Linked DNA regions of Alligator mississippiensis. The protein of the gene in region 3 purifies or fractionates together with the protein of the main gene of each other region. This does not show direct contact. Links are inferred from orthologs where the notes say so. Each region holds a gene or a part of one and is shown on either strand. Other genes may lie near its edges.

Region 1 (7,450 bases), on a different chromosome or scaffold from region 3:
AAAAAGTTAAACCCACATCATGAAGCACAAGAAAGCCTTTTTTAAGCATTCAAACCCACATACAAACCCAGCCTGGACAGTCAGACAGCTCGCAGTTTTGGGGCAGAGCAGATTCTGGATGCATTACCTAAAATTACGCTTCAACTCCTTAGAAATAGCAAGCACTCGCCCTCAAAGTGTCTAGGTTTTTTTTAAAAGGCACCTCAAATGACCAGTTGCTTCCTGACAAGATACTTGGTTGTATGTATATAAAGACAGAGAAAAGCTCATCATTGACATCAGTTTTTAAATAGGAAATCAAGGAGTCCCTGTTAGCCATCTAAGTGTTTCATTACTTCTATCGATTGAAAAGAGCATTTCAAAGGGCAACACACATCTGCTTATTCAAGAGCTTCACAGACAGCAAAATTACCCGAATAAGTGTATGGCTTACAGCAGGGAAGGGCACCGGGAGGATGAAAGCTGCAGATAAATAGGGCTGTGGCATTAAACAACATTTGTGTTCCTCTCACAGAAATCCTGCCATTAAGCGGTACCTGCTTTCAAAGGACCTCCTTGAAGGTAACCTTCCCCCCAACTCCCCCTTCTCAAAAGGGATTCAAGCACTTCAGTGACTTCGAGTCGTAAGGTCAGACCCAAAAAGGCACTGTGGTGCCCAAATCCTACAAATTTCAATGAGGCCTTGAGCACTTCTCAAAGATTCACACTCAGGCTATGAGCAGAAATAACTCGTAACCGCTTTAAGAAGAGGGCACACTAGCTAAGATAATAAAACTGTTGCATTTGCAGCCATACAACAGAGCTTAAAACAAATCAAATCAAATCACTGCAACTGTAACCTAGAATAAAACAGGGCTAGAGTTGAAAGTATTCTGCAACATCGGTATCCCTGTAAAATCCTACGCGGACATCACTTAGTACCAATAAAACAATTATGCTCCACTACAGTCCGTGCATCTGAACTTCCCTCCACCACCCTACACACAGCTTAAATCCTTAAAACATTAAAGAAAAGAGGCTGGGCTCGGGCCGTAACCCCAAATAAAATGCTTCCTAGGTGTTTGCAAAGCACCCAGCACAGCTGAACTCCAGTCTTGGCTAGAGCAACAGCCAGATCGTGTGCGGTACTGGTAGGCCGCAGCCCTGTTGTGCTAGGTGCCGAATGAGCATGCTGCGAGCTACAAGGTCTGGATCAAAAGCTTACAAGCCAACCGGCCAGCACGCTGGCAGCTGGAGCAGACACGATCAGGAGACTGAGGTGGCTTTACAACCTTGGTGACGCCGAGAGGTTAGAAGGCAGCATGCTCTGCTCCTATCCACACCGGAGACGACAGATCCCAGCCTGCGGGGCCATCGAGCCAGCTCTTCCCGCGAGCACTAAAGGTGCACGAGGATTTTCACAAGCACTGCAAAGAATGCACTCAGCAACGCCACAGCAGAAATGGAAGCAGGGGGGAGCCGGCATTTTGGTGTCAGGATAGGAAGTCTCGATACACAGCAAGGAGCGGAGGGGCTCGTGACTGCGGTTCAGTCAGCAAAGAACTGAGACTGGGGTTTGATCTTTCGGACCCGCTCTGAATTTTGCACTGGGTTGGTACCGAAATGCAAGTCAGTTATGCAATTACAACCACGCTTCGGCAATTTGCATGCGAGCCCGAGGAGCTTGTAACATTAAAAAAAAGTAAAAATACTTTGAAGTGCTTTAAGTTCACCGACTGAAAAGCACCAAGAGCAGAGGTGTAGCAGCTGCCCCAACAGGTATTTCGCCCATTATGCAAATGGCTCAGCTAGGGGACAAAGAGCAAGCGACTTGCTCAAGGTCACACAGCAGCCAAGCGGCTATCACCACTCCCAAGCCCTGCGCTGCTCAGACGCCTTCTCCGCAGAGGACAAGGCACGCTGCTTCATGGAGCAGCTGTACCATGCTCCAGCAGGTCACATGCTCTCTCCTTCCCATTTCACCGCCCGGCTCCTGCGGCTAGGGCTCAGAGTAGATGATTCACAGACACAAAACAAACAGGAGACGTGAAGTTAGCCTCTTTTCCTATCACTTTCCCCAGCAACAGGTCCTTTCCTTTCCCCAGAAGCAAAGTCCACAGGCCTTTTGATAACACCGGCCAGACATCAGCAAGCCCAACGCCTTCCAAACAAACCAGGCTGGCCCTTGCAGCGTTGAAAAGTCAGTGCTGCCATCACTCTCGCACCCTGCGGTCTTCCTGAACACGTGGCCAGCAGAGAAACATGTGATTTAGGATATCGGATAGCAAAGCACCCACGAAAAGACAGGCCCTTAGGACACATCTCGCAGACCCCTCATCGTACGCCCTCAACTCGGAGCCGGCGCGCGTCTCTACCTCCCGCCGACAGAAGTTCAACTTGCAACTCGAACGAAACAACTCCCCCCGGGCAGCCAAGCCGCTCGAGTGTTGCCGAGCCGGCTTTGCACATCCTCCAGCATTACGCCAGCCTTCGAGGGAGGCAGAGGTGGTGCAAGGACGTGAGAGGCGCTAGCTAATTTGCAGCCTGTCGGCGCCCAGAGGGTGCCGTCCTGCCCGCGCCGTGCAAACACGGGCGAGTCTTTACTCGCGCAGCCCCGGCGTTCGGTGGGGTTGCATCACCGCCGAAAGGGCGCCTGTAGCCCAGGCGTAGGGTTTCCTCCACGAAGGAGCCGTTCGCACGCGGTCGTGGAGGCGGCGCTCACGCGGCGCCGCTGCCTGGGCTGAGCATCTACCAGGGACCCCTGGGCCCGCTCCTTTCTTGGGGAGTCTGGGGAGGGGGATCCCCACGCCTTGCTGCGGGTCTGGGGGGCCAGGAGGAGCCCCATCCCCCCAGAGGGTGGGCAAGGGGGCTCACTTAGCTCATGCACCCGCAGCCAAAGCAACGGGGATGGGTGTGGGGGGGTGACCGTGACCTTGACCGCCCCCAGCGCCAGCGGGGAGGGGAAACGGCGCAACCCTGCCCCGGCGGCGGTACTCACGGTCCGTGCGGTGCTCTTCCCCCGTGCCGTGCCGCGCCGCGCCGCGCCCCGCCCCCGCTCCGTGCCCACGTGCCGCCCGGCCGAGCCCCGCCGAACTCTGAGACATTCGCCCGCGGCACAAGGTTCCACTCGCCCCGCCCCTCTCGCGAGAACGCCGCCTCGCGCGAGACTCGGGCCCGCCCCCGCTGAGCTGGGGGTGGGGGGGAGGGGAGTGTGTGCGCATGCGCCCCGCACTGCCCGTCTCCTGGCGGGGTGGGAGTGCCCCCATCCCCCCCCCCCAGCAGCCCCCCGCGAGGGCAAATGTCACTTACTCGATTGCAAGACGACCCCATTTACCAGGAGAAGGGGGTGCTCCATGTCCTCCCTTTGCCCACCCCCACCTTGCCCTTGATCTACGCCCCAGCGGGGGCCGCAGGAGGGTTGGCGTAAGGATGCAACCTGCGGTGGTGGACACAGGAATGAAAGGCGTGCCTTTTTATCGCACGCTTTCCAGCTCTGGATGCACCTTTTTCTGGCGCGATCGGTACTTTGCGTGGGCAACGTTAGGCGGTCTGAATGCATTGCGGGGTTAACTGTATAATACTTGTAACCTGTATTGTAACTCTCCAGGTGTTTGTAACAATTATAACACTGTGACCTGTAGAGTTACAAGTATCTGTAACACTTGCGAGCCGTATAACACTGTAACTGTAGAGGGGGGTACGGGAGGGTCACACAAGCAAATCCAGGCTCTGTCGGCCCTGCTCAAACCGTACCGAACGCTGTCCAGTTTGCGGATAGGTTTTCAAACTGGCTTTTAACTTCTTCCTGCCTGAGAAGAGCAAAGCCTATGAATCGGGTTTGCACGCGCGTGACAGTGCTGACATCGCGCGGCTTTCCCCGGCCCGCTGGAAAGGATCTCGAGGCGTCCTGGTTCAAAACCACTGAGCTACGCACCCGGTCAAGTCACCCTCTGGTCCTGACACGGAGCTGGTCCCTACTGCAGGAGCGCTCAGCAACGTCTCGGCACGTCGCGCAAAGCGTTAGGCTGCGCGTGCCTGCAAGCTGCTGCTCGGGGAAGTCAGGATTGCAGCGTCTCTCTCTCGTCCCCGCTCTCGGCACGCTCCGTGGGAGGAGTAGGGGAAACCTCAAAGGAAAATCCATGTTCAGCAAGCCAGTACTCGGTGTGGCCAGGCCCTGTACTGCAGAAGGATGCACACTCCCTTTTCCTCTCGTAACCCGCCAGCGGTGATAAGTTGCACTGGGACAGGATGGCGGCATTTCCCCCTGGCACTGAGTGTATTGAAACAGCAGCGACACGACGACCGTCATCTATAAAGGACTTCCACAGGGAGAAAGGCACGTGAGGATTGCTGCTTAGCCTTTTGTCTAAGATCCAGTATAACGGGCCCTGAGCTCCCAGGCCTGTAGGTCTGGCACTTGCATGTAGGATCCTGGCCTGGTTGAAGATCCGTGAATATGTATAGACATCGTTACTGAGCTTTGCTCATTTGGCTTGGGGATTTAATCGGCTCTTGGATTTGGACTGAGACTGGAATACATTTTAATAGTAATAACAATCACGACCAACAACGGCCCTGTGGGGATTGTGGTGTTTTATGCTGAAAAGGCAGCCTGGCTCGCTGTCTTATCACGCCAGAACAGTGCTCAGATCAGGGTCCTGCTGCGAGGTTTGCCTTGCCTGACCTCGGGCAAGTCACTTCTCTCTGCTTTAGTTTCCTCTGTAGGAAAAAAAGGTAGAGATCCCACTCCTCTGTCAAGTGCTTTTGAGTTCAGGGGATGTAAAGCACCACCTAAGAGTTAAACCGCAGTAATGTTGGTTTGTTGATTTTACTTTTTTTAGCTTCAGGCCAGTTTGTTTCCATTAAGTAATGTCCCCTTATACCGGTAACATCCAGGGCAACAAAACCATCTTTACCTTTCAAAGGCTTTCAAGATGAGAGGAAAATTATGCTATGTTGAAAATGTAGAGGGAAAAATGTGGTCTGAGCACAAGCTGGAGGTCACAGCCCTGGCATGTATGTCCTGGATTCGAAATCTAGCTCGGTCTCCTTTTAGACACGTTACAGCTCAGGGGTGCTCAGCCCCCAGCCCGTAGGCTAGATCCGGCTCCTGGTGCGGTGTCATCCAGCCTCGGGGGCTCTCCACAAACCCAACATTTGGTGGCAGGGAAGGAGTGGTGTAGTGGAATAGTTAAGGGTCATCTTATGTAGTTCAGATCAGGGTAGGTAAAATATGGCCCGCAGGTGAGGTTCGGCTAGCTAAGGGATTTTATTTGGTTTAGATTATGGTTGTACGGGATGGTTTATGAGCCTCCCTCAGGCAGGGGTTGGACTAGGTGGCCTCTGGAGGTCCCTGCCAGCCCAACTTTTCTATGATACTGTGCCCCTGTGCTCTTGCGCGGAGGCGCAGCATGGACCACCAGGGCCTGGTCCCAGTTCACGAGGGGGGGTGCCTATCCCAGTGCACAGGGTCAGCACCAGACCCCAGGGCCCTATCCCGCCGTGCATATGACAACCGAGGCCCTGTGGGGCTCGATCCAGCCCATGGACCAGCACTGCGCCACTCATCTGGCCTGTGGGGCCAAAAGGTTGAGCACCTCTCTTCTAGCTCAAACAGAAATCATGGGCTTGATACAGAATTGGTTGGGGGGGATTCCTGCTGTGCATTATGCAGGAGGGCAGATCCGACGATCCTTTTGGTTCCTTCACACCTTAACCTAAGTGAACGTCTTAATCTGTGCATGGTCTGGGATATATCGCACGCTCTCTGACTCAGCTCCCATGGCCGTCATATAGAAATAGGGATACCAATGTCTCTAAAAATGCCACAGCGTACTGTGAAGAGATCACACTTAGCGTCCCTCTGTCATGAAAGCAGCCGTAAACAATAAAATGTTGCTGGCAGCCATTAACTGGATCTCCCGGTTGTGATCTTAGTAGCACTGTGCCAACAAGCACTGATCTTTGCCAGAAGCTGCTGAAAAGCTGGACCACCTCTGCTTTAGATGGCTCTGTGTAAAAAGGGTATATTCGATCAGGCCTTAATAGCATAAAAAGAGTCTAAGGGTCACGTTTCTTTGTGAATATGGGCAAAGCTAGACGTGCCATATGCTGGGGAAATTTGATGCAAAGGTCTAAGTCATTCAGCAGTTTGAGCAGCCTATCGGTTTGGAAGTGAAAGCGAGCACAGGGCATGGGGTTGAGCAACCTAGCCTGGGAGTGGGACTTTATGTTGGATTGCTGTTCATTGCGGTGTTAATAAAACCATGCACCCAGGCACGGGTGGCTTTGGACTCTATGTGGTGCATGGCCTGCATTTATGGAGGGGCTTGGAAGTGATGTGTTCTTGTGCCCCCCACTCCTAAATAACATAGAAAGCCTGCAGTGCTAAGTAAGGGGTCATTGCAGTGAGAGTCGCTCTCACAGGTGGCATGCTTTAAGGTGCAAACTTGCAATTCATTCCCCACTACTGTCAAGGAACAGATGTCTTGGAGCCTTTACGAACAGCAAGAAAAATGGGGATAAACATAACAGCGTAAATTCGGGGAGCTCGGGCAGCAGGGGTTAAAGGACGATGTTCCCCGGGGCAAGCAAGACCAGACAGTTGTGAGCAGGGCAGGTGGTATCATTCTGTAACAAGGTCTCTGGCTGTGCAAAGTTGAAGCCTTTTTCTGGGCAATGGAGATCGTTGTGCCAACAGTAGCGTTCTGCTTCGCCCCTCTCAGCGTTGCATAAACACTGGTTCAGCATCGCAGGGAGCAGCAATAAGAACGAGTGCCAGCAAAACACTGGCAATTAATAGTCTTAACCAAGGTGATGCTTAAACGGGCTTTGACCAGGGTACAAGCCGGTGTCTGTTCAAACTGGAGCTCCAGGAGCCACTATCGCCACAGCCACTGCATCTAGGAAGCAAAGCTTTCCCAATGACAATGCTGCTGCTACGCTGTGAGCAACGAAAAAGAAAATGCTTTCACTTATTGGATGTCTCTGCCTGGCAAGAGGTGCCTGTGGGTTTGCAAAGAGACTTGGACGACTTGTAGCCTGTTCTGCTGCCCAGAAGGGAGAGCTGGGGTACGCTGCAGGGGAGCAGCGTGCAAGGAAGAAAGCTCGGGCACTTTAAGAGACAGCAGAAATGAGCTGACTAGGGAAGCAGAGAGGAGGCCTGAACATTTTCAAGCAAAGCAGTACAGCTTCACAGCAAAATAGGAGCTGGCTAAATACAGTCAGCATCCAATTTGACAGACTCTGGGACCCTGGGGCCACCGGTTTGAATCCCAGCAGGGCAGTCTTGGATCCCTCTCAAGCACTCACATAGGAGTTTGGAGTACTTTCCATGTGTGCTTCTTTCCAGGGTGGCTTTGCTTTAAGTCAAATCAATTTAAACCATGATTTAAATCATGATTTCATTCACTGGTCAGGAAGTCTCGATTTAATCATTTTCTACAAAAAAGTGCATTCTTGTTCTTTGATA
Region 2 (6,941 bases), on a different chromosome or scaffold from region 3:
CATCTTAGCTACAGGCTTTGTAGCTAAGTTTTGGTTGCATTAGCTTACCTATGCACACCCCTGGGTCAGACGTCCCAGTTATACCTGTAACACCCATTCAAAGCAGCAGATGCCAAGGGGATTCACCAGTGCAACATTTGCATGCTGGAAAATGAAGCAAAGAAATACCCATAGACAAACAATGGGTAACTCGCTACTAAAAAACGTGCCATTTCCACATAGCCAATTCTGCAAGTCAATATTACAAAGTGCAGCATTTGCATCCAAGGTTTTTCTGCATAAAATCTTAAAAACAACAGGTTGGGCCGGGGGGAATTAGTTCTAGAAAAATGCTTAAAACAAATCAAAACAACACACAAAATGTAGCATCTTAAAATAAATAAACCCAAGGAGAAAAGGTAGAACTCAGAGACCACAGAAAGGACTGAGGTCCTAGATTCAGCCTTGTGGCTACTAAAAGAAAAAATAAGTATCTTCCAACTTGGAATAATTCTACATACACAGTTATATATGCACAACAGTCTGAAAAACCCCTGGAAATGCTCGCTTTTGAGATCTTAAAATCCTGAAGTTGTGATTAATCTAATGAGACATCATTCTTAAAACAACTAAGAGAATACAGCCACAGCTATATTGCCATTCAAGCATGTTTTTCAGAATGTATTTTTGTTTCATAACCTTAATATGCTCCCAGGATAAGTATACATAAATTGCTTTAATAATGGAGCAGCAGTAGCTATTTGAAATTACATCTACAACACACTTTAGTTAACTGCACAAATACACAGTGGCCAGACCAGCCTCCAAATCGCATGGACCAGAAATATGGTCCAAGACGCACACAATTGTTATAACTGTGCAAACAGCACTTCACAAAATAATAGGATACATCCATTTTGCTTCAAAAGCAATGTATCAGGCTATATTTTCTCTAAAACCTGCAATAAGACGAACTTGGCAGCCACCACAAGGTCACAATAAAGCAAAAGATGATAAATTATTGTCCTTGATCAATACAGGGCAGTAAAACTTTATGGAAAGACTTTCTTTTCCCTTTAGAAAGGAACATGGAGCAGGTGCTGACTCAGCCACAACAGAAAGCAAAACTCTCACAACCTAACTAGGCTGCAGCTGGAAAGCCCTGCATGAAACTTTAATGCCATTTTTCTAAAAAAAAAATTACTAAGAGTGAACCATCAATAGTGCTAGTTAGTCCAAGCAGTTCAGAGCCTGGTCCTCAGGATCTTAATGGCAACGGAAACATAAATGTTTTGGACTAATACTAGTATCTGCAGGAGTAGCTCGAGTTTAGAAGGTTTTCTGGCTTTTTAGAAAAGGGATCATCACCATCATCACGTTATCTGTTTGGTAAATAGTGCCTTGTAATCTGAGTGACAATTCCTTGCCACTGGTTATGGTTTTCTACGAGATGCATAACTTCTGCTGATAACAGAGAGCAGGCTGGATTTAAGAAGGCCCCCAAATTGTTACAGAAATAGCAAGTCTTCTCTGCTGCTTCCCAGCCATTGGGGCAGGCCAGAGAAGTAGGCAAACGCACATGTGCACCATAAATAGAGATTTCTTTGCCTAGGAAACAATGTAAAAACCCTCTAACTCGTGAGCATCCAGGTGCTTCATTAAGCTTGCGCCTTTCCTCCCCGCTAGGCTAATGCATTCAGTGGCACTCGGGTGGGTGGGCAGTTTCACTTTCAGAGTCTCCCCAGGTTTGGGTTTCAAACAGAGCACCGAAACAAGTTGCAATTTAGATGAAAAAGAAAAATCAGCGGTCAGCTATGAATGTTAAACCCCTGCTACACATTGCCTACATTGCTCAACCCACTGATGAAAGCATTATAAATGTACACTGGCCAAGCATGCAAGTAATTACCGTGGAAGTCATTGGTGAAACACATTATAAGTGTATACCGGTCACCTATGCAAAGCAATCACCATGCAACTCACTGGTGAAACACGCTATAAGTGTATACCGGTCACCTATGCAAAGCAATCACCACGCAACTCACTGGTGAAACACAAACATACTATACATAACAAGTAATTATTGTGTAATCCACTGATGAACTGTGCAAGCCATGTACACCAGCCACCCATGCAAAGAAACTATTACACAAATCACGGTTGAATCACGCCATAAATGTAGACCAGCCATCCGTGCAACGTAATCGTACAACTGACTGTCAAACCGTGCCATATATGTGCCCCTGCCTCCCGTGCAAAATAATTATCACACACTTCACTGGGGAACCAGGCAATAAACATGCAATACATGCATCGCGCAAAGGCGCCCTCGTGCACATCACTGGTGAATCGCACAATAAACCCGTCGCCCGCACAAAGCATCTGCCACGCCATTCAGTGCCATAAATGCACCCCGGCCACCCGCACAAAGTCATGGTGGCAGGAGATGAAAACAAATGAGGGACCAGTTTTAAAGAGAAGAGCCGACCCGCTGCGGGGTCGCACACAAAGCGCCCGCGCGGGTTTCTATCGCGCGTCAAGTGCACGTGTGTGCGGCAGGGCGGGCCCGCGGGAACCGCGCCAACTTTCCCGGGGGTGTCCGGGCAGCCCCCGCTCACCTGCGCTGCCGGCCGAGCCGGGCCGGGCCGCATCCCCGGGCACGTCGGGCAGGTCGGCCACGTTGACGCTGAGGGAGAAAGAGATGCGGGTCAGCGCGGGCGGCGGGACGCGGCGCCACGCGGGGAGGAGGGGGTGACACCGCGGTTAAGCTCCTACCTGCCGCCCAAGTCCAGGGGCAGCGTAGGGTCGTCCCCCGGCAGCGAGTCCATGGCGGCGGCGGTACCCGGTTATTATTGTGCGAGTTTGGCGGCTCCGCTGGAATTCAAACGGCTGCAGCTGCTTCCGCCATCTTGTGGCCCTGACCGTGAAGCCGTTGAAGCCGCCCCAGGAGGGCCTGGCACCAGGGCACCGTAGACATCTATGGGGAAAGCCGCCATCTTTGCTGAGGGAGCCGCCTGCGGAAGCGCGCGCGGACGCCCTCTTAACTGAGGGCAGACGGGGGTGGACAATGCCAACTGGGCTGTGAGCGGGGTAGGAGTTGAGTGTGGGCAGCTGCCATCTTGAGTGAGGGAAGGAAGGCGGGGAGTCTGAGCAGCCGTCAGTTTGCAATAGAAGCTGGTTAAGAAGGTGCCATCTTTACTAAGGGCATTGTGTTGCGTCGTTAGGACAAGAACATGTGTGTGGGCGCCGCCATCTTTATTTAGGGCCCCGTGGTGCGCAGTTCGGGGAGAAGGTACAGGGCATCTTTGCGGATAAAGTGGATATAATTAGGGGGCTGTGTCAGATCACCAGGCGGTGCCCTCAGGGATCCTCTAGGTCACCAGGGGCTACCAGTTGCCGCAGGCTGTCCCCCCAGTGCCACTCCCTTCCCTTTCCCGTGCCTGATCCACTGCTCTGCTTTCTACTTCCTTCCCTGTCCGCCCTTCCCGATCTGCTGCTCTGCTTTCTGTTTCCTTCCCTGTCCGCCCTTCCCGATCTGCTGCTCTGCTTTCTGTTTCCTTCCCTGTCCGCCCTTCCCGATCTGCTGCTCTGCTTTCTGCTTCCTTCCCGATCTGCTGCTCTGCTTTCTGTTTCCTTCCCTGTCCGCCCTTCCTGATCTGCTGCTCTGCTTTCTGCTTCCTTCCCTGTCCGCCCTTCCCAATCTGCTGCTCTGCTTTCTGCTTCCTTCCCTGTCCGCCCTTTCCGATCTGCTGCTCTGCTTTCTGTTTCCTTCCCTGTCCGCCCTTCCCGATCTGCTGCTCTACTTTCTGCTTCCTTCCCTGTCCGCCCTTCCTGATCTGCTGCTCTGCTTTCTGCTTCCTTCCCCGTGGGCCTTTCCCGATCTGCTGCTCTGCTTTCTGCTCCCTGCTCCCTTTCCATCTGCCAGGTGCAGGGTTTCCAGCTCTGTCTGAATCTATCGCAGGAGGTTTCATCACACGATGCAGAGACATGAATGATTGATCTACTGTACTCAGGAAAACAAATGTATGTTACTATTACTTTTTAAAACTGTAAAAACCCACGGGACTGCAGTATAAATTGGATTTGACATTTAATATCTATTTTAATGAATGCTCTATCATTTATCTCCTGGGTGACTCTCAGCCGTCTCCTGAAGATTATATCTCAATCCTGGAGACTCCAGGGCTGGCAACTCCTAGCCAGGTGCCCTGCACATGGGATGCCTCTGCCACTTGTGGCATAAGTGTGGCAGATTGGCCAGCCCCGGGTTTGGGAATGGTGGCCACATTAGGTTGGCTTAGCAACAGCTGGCCATTTTTTGAGGCTATTGGGTGAATGCCTGCTTCTAAGAGTGGGCGGCACAGGGCCTGACTTTCAAAGGCCTCGAGCACCAAGATTGGCAGAAGTGAATGGAATTGGTGGGGTGCGGGACAGCACCTCTGACCAGCAGAGCCCCAGCTCCCACCCACAGCCCAGCTGCATTGGTTCATCTGGACACACTGCATCTTCCTTGGGTTACGGGCATGGCCATCCACATTGCACTAACCCATGCATTTAACTGCGGGGTCAAGCTTATGCAGGCCTGTGTGTGTGTCAAACAGAGCCTGCCAACAAAAGAAGAATTAGGGCCTGTCCTTTGACTCCCTTGAAATACAGGACATGGGTTTGGAAGGGAATGAATGCAAACAGCATGAAGCCATGGGGAGCCTTTCCCCTGCTCTAACACTACTTCATCTCTGCTTGGGAGCCTGTGAGAAAGTGTATTGTCTGCTCAAATAAAATGTGTAACAGCAGGTGCTCAAGTACTAGTGATCTGGAATATGCATTTACCGATAAATAGGTAGGTAAGCAGGTATGATGGATAGAATTAGTCTCACGATTTAAGTTTCTTGTTATTTTAAAAGCAAAATGTATAATTCAGGGATCTAAAACCAAGAATCCTGTCCATCATAACAAATCAACCTTGAAAATACCACCTGAAATAAGTTTATTAAATGCATAAGCTTGCTCAATGCCGAGATGAAAGCTACAAAAGAATTGGTATTTTGCCAGAGTAGTATACTTAACCATGCAGTGTATTGTTAGATCGAGTTTTATCGCCCTAGGGGTGTTCTCTTTCCTCAATATGTGTGTGCAATTTCCATTACTGCTGCTTTCAAGCAGCTAGGAAATATATACCCTTCAACTGTATTCAGGTAAGAGCCTGTTTTTAAGATGATCCACTCCAGAAACATCCACGCTACATTTCTGCAAATGGATCATTTTATCTTAAAAATAAAGTGACAATCCATTATGAAATGCCATATTTTAACATTATATATAATTTCACCATTGAATGGTATTTGTATCAGCTTGTACAAGGGTAGTATCCCAAACTTGATTTTATTCTAACCCCATACAATATTTCCATGTAAACCGCGTGAAATGCTCTATGTATGCCCAATTCATTTTTTCCTTCGTTAGGAACAACGCATTGACAGCCATGCTGTACGATTTGCGAGTTAGTCACTGGCACAGGCTCACGTCTTAGTTTGGTTTGACATTTAATCTCTAGAATTCAGAGCTGGTGATTGGGTCACACTTTTCAAGATTAAGTCCAGGGGAAACTTCTATCTGAGGCACTTATGTAGGCCTCATCATCATAGTAAATAAAAGTGGCGTCTGGAGGAGGGCAACTGAAACTGGCACTGACCGGGGATGGGGTTGGAGTGCAGGAGGGGCAGAAAAAAATAGCTGTCACAGCAGCCGCATGATCACACCTGCAGCAGCAATGACCAGAAGTCACCACTACCCCCGTGTGTGGCCAATGCCCCAGGCACCTGGCCATTGTTACACCGCTAAGTGAATGCCTCACAGTCTTTAACGAGTTTATGTTCACAACGTGGATGCAGTGTATTTGTCCAGGGTCCCTCAAAGAGTCAGGGGCAGACCTTAGGAGAATGCAGTTAGTTATTTAAAGCCCAGACTGGCATCCTACCTGCTGGACAATCCCTTCTCTCATCTTGGTCCTACCTTTATTAATAATGTTTACATAGCAGTAAGCCATATTTGTTATCTCTATTGGAGACCTAATGTGTCCGAGGATTCCTGTCTTCTATTACGATACAGGCAGGACTGTGTTACTGTATGCCAGTTGCTTTCATTTGTCAGCACCTCCCTTGACTACTTCAGCTGATACCGTGCAGAACAGGTACTTTGGATCCCAAAGCTGGATTGTGTTATTCTTCTATAAGCTTTTCAAAACTTGACTGACATGCTTTTATAGTTTTAATGAATTAGTTGAATCTTTTTGGTAGGATTTAAACATTCTCCTGCAGTGTTTGCAATCTAAATATTGCACCACTAGCTTGACTGATCGTATAGCGAAAGCTGATGACTCGACTTCTATCATCCCAACTAAACGAAGGAGCAAGGCAGGAGTCCCCCCAGGTGTCAACAATGAAAAAATGAATACTTTCAGTTTAATAATATGCAGCATTACCTATAGCATAAGGACAGAGATGATTTCAGTATCTGATAAAGCAAGCTACTGCTTATTAAAGTTTATGCATCTCTAGTTTGTCTGTAAGATACAAATGTACCCCATTTTCTGAGAGAAGGCTGCCTAGGGCCAGTCTACAGGATCAGCCCATGTCTGTTTATTAGACTATTTTCTCCTCTATGTTTGTAGTGCTGGATTACACTTATTCACCATAACCATCTGGACTGTGTCAAGAAGATGCTTACCTCCTCAATGCACAGGCTTGGAATCAGCACCAGTATGTGAGCCTGCCTGTTGTTATTACCTTATCACTCTGGATTCCCGTTTCATCCTGTTACTCCATTTTCTGTAAATGGAATTAATTTCTCTTTCTGAAACACCTAAACGCCAAATACTAGCCTGTAAATTCAGGTGATGCCCTATGTTTCCCAACCAGTGAGTGCCAGTAACTCTGCTGTAGGCTTCTCCTTCCTACCTTGAT
Region 3 (7,495 bases):
AACTTTAAAAAGACTCCCACATTTCACACACATTTTGCTTTCTAGAGTTATTCTACATATAATTAATAAGCTGACTAAAAGATTTGTTTGACTTTTTTATATGTGAAACTATTTATAGTTGTGTTGATTTTTTTAAGATTACAAAACAGTGACCATGAATAAAGTCTTGATTGCAAATATTCACTATAATTCTTAGAAGGCTTCTTAAAACAACCTGAAAACATTCACACATAACACACATATTCCAATAAATTCATGCTACTTTGCTCTATTTGCCACACTGTAAATGTAACATGCCTGCAGTCTGTTTACCACTGATTAAACAGCCGACTACATTATAAGTTTGATACAAGCTATGTTCAGTATCAAAGAATGATGATATTATTTCAGTTCTTCTTCATTATCATTCTGTGCCAGCTTCCAAGTTCACTAATGGTTTAGGAATTTATGCCAACCTCAAAGATGATGTCATCAGTTTCAAAAGAGTTCAAAACCATCATGTAAATCTGCAGTATGTGACTGATAACTACAAACGCTTCTTAATTACATATGCCAAGTAGCTTCTAGCTGCAAAGTATAGATTGAAAGGATGTTTAATATCATAAGCAAGTTGCATCTAAATTTCACTGGGAAGTTATGAGTGTTATTTAAGTAAGCTAAATTTGTTCTGTTGAGCTTTTTAAATATCTGGCTTTCTTGGAAAAAAAATGCATATAAGGCATTACTTAAAATATTTCACATATATAAAAGCTTGTGCAGTTCAGCTAGCAAACTGCAAGCTTTTGGACATTGCTATGAGATACAGCTGGAACTTGATCTGGAAGGGCGAAATGCTCCAGTGAGCTAATAACGTAGTGCAAGTTCAAGCTGTTCTCAGAAAATCCAGAATGATGAAAATGTTTCCCTTAGTCTTCAACCCCACTTACCAATCAGCCTTTGCTTTTCAGGTTCCCATTACCTAAACAGAGAGCTCTGCACCTTTTCAAAGGCAGCTATGCCTTGTCCCCTTAATACAGAGATGCTCTGTCCCCAATAAATCCTGTCAGCCATACAAAAAGAATACATTTTGAGCTGTGAACAGATAAGTCTGAGCCTGAAATCAGGTGAGGTCCTGCAGCCTTCTTTTGCTGTCCTCACAGCTATGCTCATGCCTTGGGCCCTTGTGCAGGTGATTTAAGCAGGACTTGAAAAATATATTAACCTCTTGCTGTCTACCTCATGGAATTACCTAGGAGCGTGTGTATGTAAAATCCCATATGAATTTAAGGCAGACAAGGTTCTTTGGGATATATTTTATTAGATCGACTCAAATAGTTGGAAAAATTCTTCAAGCTTTCAGACACAAACACCCTTTGTCAGGCTGAGGAAGCATCTGCAGATGATCTGTGTTCTTCCTGGGTGGAGTGGTAAAGCATCCAGAGGCCAGTACGTATTCAAGAAAGCCAGTCAGTGAAAATGGAAATTGAGGTGGTCAGTAGGTGAGAGACAGGTGGGAAGGGCACATTACCTGTGGAGGTACATTTCTCACAAGACAACCAGTCTCTCTCCAATCTCTCAGTTCTAATCCCCAAAGGGAATTTACAAAATACCTTTCATAGACAAGCCTATGAACTTCACTTCATGGATACAAAAAAATCATGGACTAAATATAGACACTGGATTTATGACACATTATAACCTGCCTAACATCTAACTCCCCAGGTAAACCCTCCACTTTTTACCAGCTATTCTCATTCCCTCTCCCTCTCCTGTCTCATCCTTTGACTACAGCTACATTCATTCCCCCTCCACCCCACCTGTGTCTCACCTACCCATCACCTCAATTTACATTTTCACTAACTGCCTTTCTTGCATAGGTACTGGCTGTTTTACCACTCCACCCAAGAAGAAGGAGCACAGACCATCTGCAGATGCTTCCTCAGCCTGACGAAGGGTGTTAGTGCCTGAAAGCTTGCTAAGAAGAATCGTTTCAACTATTTGAGTTTGTCTAATAAAAGATATTGGAGTGACCCAAAGAACCTTGTCTGCCCATCTCCTTAGCCCAACATGGCTACAACCTACACCCCTGAAATATGAATTTAAGCGCACATGCAGTAAGTCCTAGACCTTTAATGCCAGAGGGCTGCAAGTGAGAGAGGAACAGTGGGGTCAAAAGAAAGAAAAAAAAAAAGCCCTGGTCCTACCCAATTCACTCTCCCTTTCCGCATCCACTCTCTGCCACCCTGTGACACAGGGCACCGAGAAGGGGGCCTGACCCAACGGACGGCAATTCTTACATGCTCCGTTCTTATGTCCAGCAGCCACAGAGCACCAGAGCCAATGGATGCACCGCTGCTGCCTGTTCATATATGACAGAAGTAACGGTGCCGGTTTAACTAGCAGGGGAACGCTAGGTATACAAGGCTATAGCTAGAGGTGGAGCGCCAGGTATATAGCAGGGAGCAGAGTGCCAAAAACACCCACCACCTACCTCCCTTTGCAAGATCCTGGCCCGCCAAGGGCAGGTGGCAAGGGAGACACGAAGGGTCCCGTCCTTGTAGTGGCAGCGCAGCCCCAGCCCCCAGAAGCAAAATGCCTTTGTGGGCCCCTGTGCCGGGGGCTGCCTGCCCCTGGGTACAGGGTACCAGGCAGAGGGGTGCTCGGGGCACCCTGGGGTGCAGGCAGTGGTGGAGATCCCAGACCGGTAGGTTTGGCCCCCGGTCCCCGCCGGGCTGCGGCAGGCCCAGAGCAGGGACCCGGCCCGCCCGCCCGCCCGCCGGAGGGAAGCAGGGACCCCGGCCCGACCGTACCCGGGAAGTCGTCCTCGTCGTCGGCGCTCTCGGAGTCGGTCTGCACGGGCTCCTCGGCGAAGTTGACGCCGCGGGCGCTGGCGGCGGCGGCGGGGCCGCGGCGGGGCGCGAGGCCGGCGGCGCGGGCATGGCCGGGCGGGGACCCCCCCGCCTTGCGGCCGCTCTCGGCCGCCGCCTCCGCCTCCGCCTTGAGGCGCCCGAAGTACTGGAGCGCGAAGTCCAGCAGGTCGCCGGGCTGGCTGCGCAGCACCTCCACCGTGAAGCCCTGCAGCAGCTCCGTCAGCCCCGCCGGGATGGAGATGCTCATGCCGGGAGCCCCGAGGGGGTGCGGGGCGGGGCGGGGCGGCGCTGCGGGACCGGCTCCGGGCTCCGGCTCCAGCTGCGACGGCAGCAGCTGCTCGCGCTCCGCGGCCCCGGCACCGACTGAGCATCCCGCCCCGCCCGCCCCGCGGGGGACCTCGCGCGCATGTGACCGCGAAACCATGGCAACCCCCGCGGGGCTGCGGCGGCCCAGCCCGCCCCGCCCCGCCCCCGCCCCGCACAGCGGCCCCGCGCGGCCTGGGAGACCCGCCCCCCGGGGTGCCTCGGGGTGGGCGCCGGCGCAGAGCCCGCAGTCAGCCCCGCGCTGAGGCCCCGCGGCCTTCCAGGAGAAAGGGCCATGGGCCAGTTTCACCCGCCTCCTGCCCTTGTTAGGAGAGCGGGGGACAACGGTGGGACCCCAGAGCTGCGCTGGCACCAGGTGGCTTGCTTGGCAAAGCTCCTGCCCTTGGGTGGAGCTGGTGGACATCTACCAAGGGACTTCTACCAAGGTCCACCTACCAAGCTGGTGGACTTCTACCAAGGTGGTGTACCCGCAGACCCTGCACACCACCCGTGTGCTGGATCCAACCCACAAACTGAGCCTGGCTGTGGGAATTGGCTTGTGAACCAGCTCCATGCCATGCATCCAGCCTGCAGGGCTAGGGACCAGCCCCCAAGCCTGGACCACACCTGTTTAGCTTGCAGCGCAGCACCCGGGAAGGCCCGGGCTCAGGTGTGGGGTTCTTAGCACCAGTGCAAGTGCACGCGCCTGCCAAATGGGGGCCCTTGCTCTCTGCAGGTTGCCTCCTCTTGAATTGCAACAAACCAGGCTGCTATTTCCCTGAAAGGGGGAGAGAGAGAACTGCGCTATTGGTATTGCATCATGTATTAGTGACTTGTATTAATTAACTGGTGACTGCACTTCCTACCCAGTGATGAATCCCACCCAGTGAGCCAAGAACAGTAAACACTGATTAATCTCTTAGAGTGGTGTTACAGTAATAGCCTTAGAATATTCTATATATGTCCATAGCATTTTTCACCTCTCAGTATAAGTCTGAATATTGTGTGATCCCGCAGTATTTGCCCTGAGATACTTTGAGGTTAAATACAGACAGTCAAAAAGCCTGAGGCTGAATCAATTCAATCTTTGCAGCAGAGATGACCTGAGCAGCGTGGGGGCCGAGGCAAATCAGGCTGTGTGGGGCCCACAGATGCAAGGAAGCCAGTGGCGGATTCGGCAGGGATGGGGGGTGCCAAGCAGCTGGACATGAAGCTGGTGGCAGCACAGACTTGCCACGGCTGCTCCGTCCGGCTCTGTGGGGCCTGGGGCGGGCGCACCAATTCACCCACCCCAGCAACGGCCCTGCTTTGCAGATAGTCTAAGCTGTGTAGATTGAACAGATAAGCAAGTGAACAGACATTCACTTTTGATTCTGGAAATGCAGCCACACACACCTGCAGTGGCTCAGGCCAGAAGCCAGGCAGGGGGGCACTAGAGCACAGCTCCCTGTTTGGCAAACAGCTTGGGCCAAACCTAGCTGCCCAGGGAGGTGCAAAGCTTCCTGGGATGCTGGGGGACTGTGAGTTAACTTGAACCTGGAGGAGCTCTGGGACAGAAGTTCAATAAACTGATTTAAGCTAAATCAGTTCAATTTGATACTGCACCCATCCAGGTTTATCTTCAACCAGTTTTGGCCATTTTGAAAGCAGTTTATGTGCACTAAACTTGTGTTGCGCTACAGATCTGAACCAGTTTCCAATCACTTATACCAGTTTATGTTTAAGTTCTGTCCCTAGCCTGAGGGTCTTAATAGCTCCATCCTGATCCAAATACGGATGGTTCTCAACACTGGCATCTGAGTTTTGATGATCTGTGGCACAAAGATTTTAATCTCAAGTGATCACTGGGAGTATTGTGGTCTGTTCCAACCTGAAGTGCTTCTGTCAGTCCACATTTCTAGTGCTTCCAAGCAGGTTGTTCATGTTACATAAGCATCTTGCAAGCAATCTGTCAGAAGCACATCAGTTCCAAATCAAAAAAAAAATTATGATATGGTGCACTGAGAGCTGAAGCACAGTGACAGAGTGGATCAAGTGTCTTACTATGGATCTGCAAGCCAGAGTTTAAACGTCATTTTAGACTCATGCCAAAGGTAACCCCCAGGCAATGCAGATGTAAATCTGTCTGGTAATTGGAGTCAAAGAGCTGAAGGTGGCCAGAAGTGATGCCAATCACATAATCCCTTTGTGTGCCATTGGCTACACAAACTGGTGTGTTTTAATCACATAAACTTGATGAAATATGTAGGTTTTGGACAGGCCTTGCACTGAGGTTCAAGTGGATCCCTGTGTGTCCTAGCATAAAGACTGCTTAACTGCCTTCTTCACTTGTGTGAATGTGACCAAGTGACTATCTATATCCAGGGACATGTAGCAGCTGTTTTGGCAAATTAGGTTCATTATTAATCAAAGACTGAGCACAATCCATGTGGCTTCATATAGTTAGGTTCAGTAATGCTTCTCTATTAAAAAGTCTTATAATATAAATGTGCTACTGGACAATCATTGAAAATTCCTTTAAAAAATTCCAGTCCTGAGAATTTAAATTGTTACCTAAAAGGCCATTTCTGGTAGCAGTGACTCAGCTCATAAAAGTGAGCTTCAGCCCCTAGTGATGGACTCATCTTAGACTTGATTGAAAAGGCTGCAGATTCACCCAAGAATACCTTCCCACGGACGCTAGAGTTCCATACAAATAAATTCATCAACCGGCCAATATCTTGCAGCACTTGCATGCCCATCCTGGGGAAGCCCCGTGTCAAAAGCCCCATGCCATCATTCCCTGAAGCTATATTTGGCATAATCGATCACACTTAGAAATGCCATCCCCCTTCTTGTTTTGTTTTGGACATATTCCTGGGCAATGCTGTTTCCAAAACAACAACACCCCCCCTCCTCCCCCGCAAAAGCAAGTAAAAGTCCATCTGCATTTTCTTTCTTCATGGTCAGGTAAAAGCTCCTGCCAGCACTGATTTTAGTCAGAGGTAAGACCCCCACTACTTCTTGTTTCCACTTCAGGCATTTATAAAGCAGTTACTTTGTTCTCTCTATTTTGGATGGTTTGTGCTCCAGAATTTTGTTTCAAGCAAGGAAAAGCCAAAGTTTCCTATGGCATTGGTGCAGTCTGTGGGCCTAATCCAGCCCACAGGTTGGAGTCATCCAGCTTGTGGGGCTCCTGGAAATTGGGTGACAGTAGCAACACTAATGCAACTAGGGTAGGGTAAGAGGGGCACTAACTCAGGGTGCCAGTATGCCCCATCTCCCTATGAGTCTGTGGCCCTAGGAGCAGGGTAGACACAGCTCTCCTGCCAGTAGTGTATCTGGGGGACAGGAGTGGAATGGATGCCCTTTCCCCAGGAGGCTTTGCCATGGGAGCCACAGCCCTGCACCCAGGGGTTGAGGGAGGTACCTCAGGGAGCCTGCCCTGCTGCCTGTTTTTTCACCACAGCAGCAGCATAAATCCACACTGCGCAGCTCAAGCAGCTGTCACCTGAGGACAGCCATTGCTGCCACCACAACATTTCCAGACCTGTGGGGAACCCCATGGGCCAGATGACATGGCCCTGTGTGCTGGATCACCCTGGTGTGTGAAGTCACTTTATGGCTGGATCCAATGCATGGGGCAAGACCAGCATGCTATATTGTACCCACAGACCCTGTACACTACCCCTATGCTGGATCCAGCCCCCAAACCAAACCTGCCTGTGGGAATTGGCTTGTGAGCCAGCTCCAAGCCACTCATCCAGCCTGCGGGGGCAGGAGGTTGAGCACCTTTGTCCCATGCCACAAATTAAATTTTATTTGAGGATTATTCTCAACTGTCCAAATTTTGCATGAAGTATTTAGTTCTTTTCTCAGATTTCCCTTGCAGATTTGAACATGCAGTCTGGTTGGCCATTTAAGAGCCATCTTAATTTCCTGGTTCTACTTCTTTAAAAAAGCTTCCATTTATGCTGTTATCACTGTCTCTGTTAGTGTTACATATCTTTATTAATGCTGTTATTTGTCTTTCCATAAGATCTACGAGCCCTGAGCACAAGCAGGAGCCCATTGTGCTGGGAACCATACAAAGATGGATGAAAAGACAGTCCCTGCTGTGGATCTAGTCCAACCTCCTGCTCAAAATAGGACCGTCCCCAGCTAGATCATACCAGCCAAGGCTTTGTCTAGCTGGGTCTTAAAAACCTCCAAGGATGGAGATTCCACAACCTCTCTAGGTAACCTGTTCCAGTGCTTTTGCTACTCTCCTAGCAAGAAAGAATTTCCTAATATCTAAGCTAAACTTCCCTTGCTGCAACTTGAGACCATTGCTCCTTGTTCAGTCATCTGCCACCAGTGAGAAC

What was found.
Region 1: the proteins of PRKAR2B (region 3) and AKAP1 purify together in Homo sapiens (affinity purification with mass spectrometry; 3 studies listed by BioGRID and IntAct, counting the BioPlex papers as one, with this or other methods). This does not show direct contact. The link is inferred for Alligator mississippiensis from reciprocal best matches to the Homo sapiens genes PRKAR2B and AKAP1.
Region 2: the proteins of PRKAR2B (region 3) and CDK5RAP2 purify together in Homo sapiens (affinity purification with mass spectrometry; 3 studies listed by BioGRID and IntAct, counting the BioPlex papers as one, with this or other methods). This does not show direct contact. The link is inferred for Alligator mississippiensis from reciprocal best matches to the Homo sapiens genes PRKAR2B and CDK5RAP2.

What each region holds. Positions count from the first base shown.
Region 1 is NC_081837.1:6,728,432-6,735,881, forward strand, and holds the start of AKAP1 (A-kinase anchor protein 1, mitochondrial), read right to left. Parts: upstream 3,082-7,450; 5' UTR 2,978-3,081; intron 1-2,977.
Region 2 is NC_081835.1:56,638,234-56,645,174, forward strand, and holds the start of CDK5RAP2 (CDK5 regulatory subunit-associated protein 2), read right to left. Parts: upstream 3,023-6,941; 5' UTR 2,808-3,022; coding exon 2,755-2,807; intron 2,666-2,754; coding exon 2,598-2,665; intron 1-2,597. UniProt on the Homo sapiens protein: Potential regulator of CDK5 activity via its interaction with CDK5R1. Negative regulator of centriole disengagement (licensing) which maintains centriole engagement and cohesion. Involved in regulation of mitotic spindle orientation.
Region 3 is NC_081827.1:27,443,737-27,451,231, reverse strand, and holds the start of PRKAR2B (cAMP-dependent protein kinase type II-beta regulatory subunit), read right to left. Parts: upstream 3,097-7,495; coding exon 2,790-3,096; intron 1-2,789. UniProt on the Homo sapiens protein: Regulatory subunit of the cAMP-dependent protein kinases involved in cAMP signaling in cells. Type II regulatory chains mediate membrane association by binding to anchoring proteins, including the MAP2 kinase.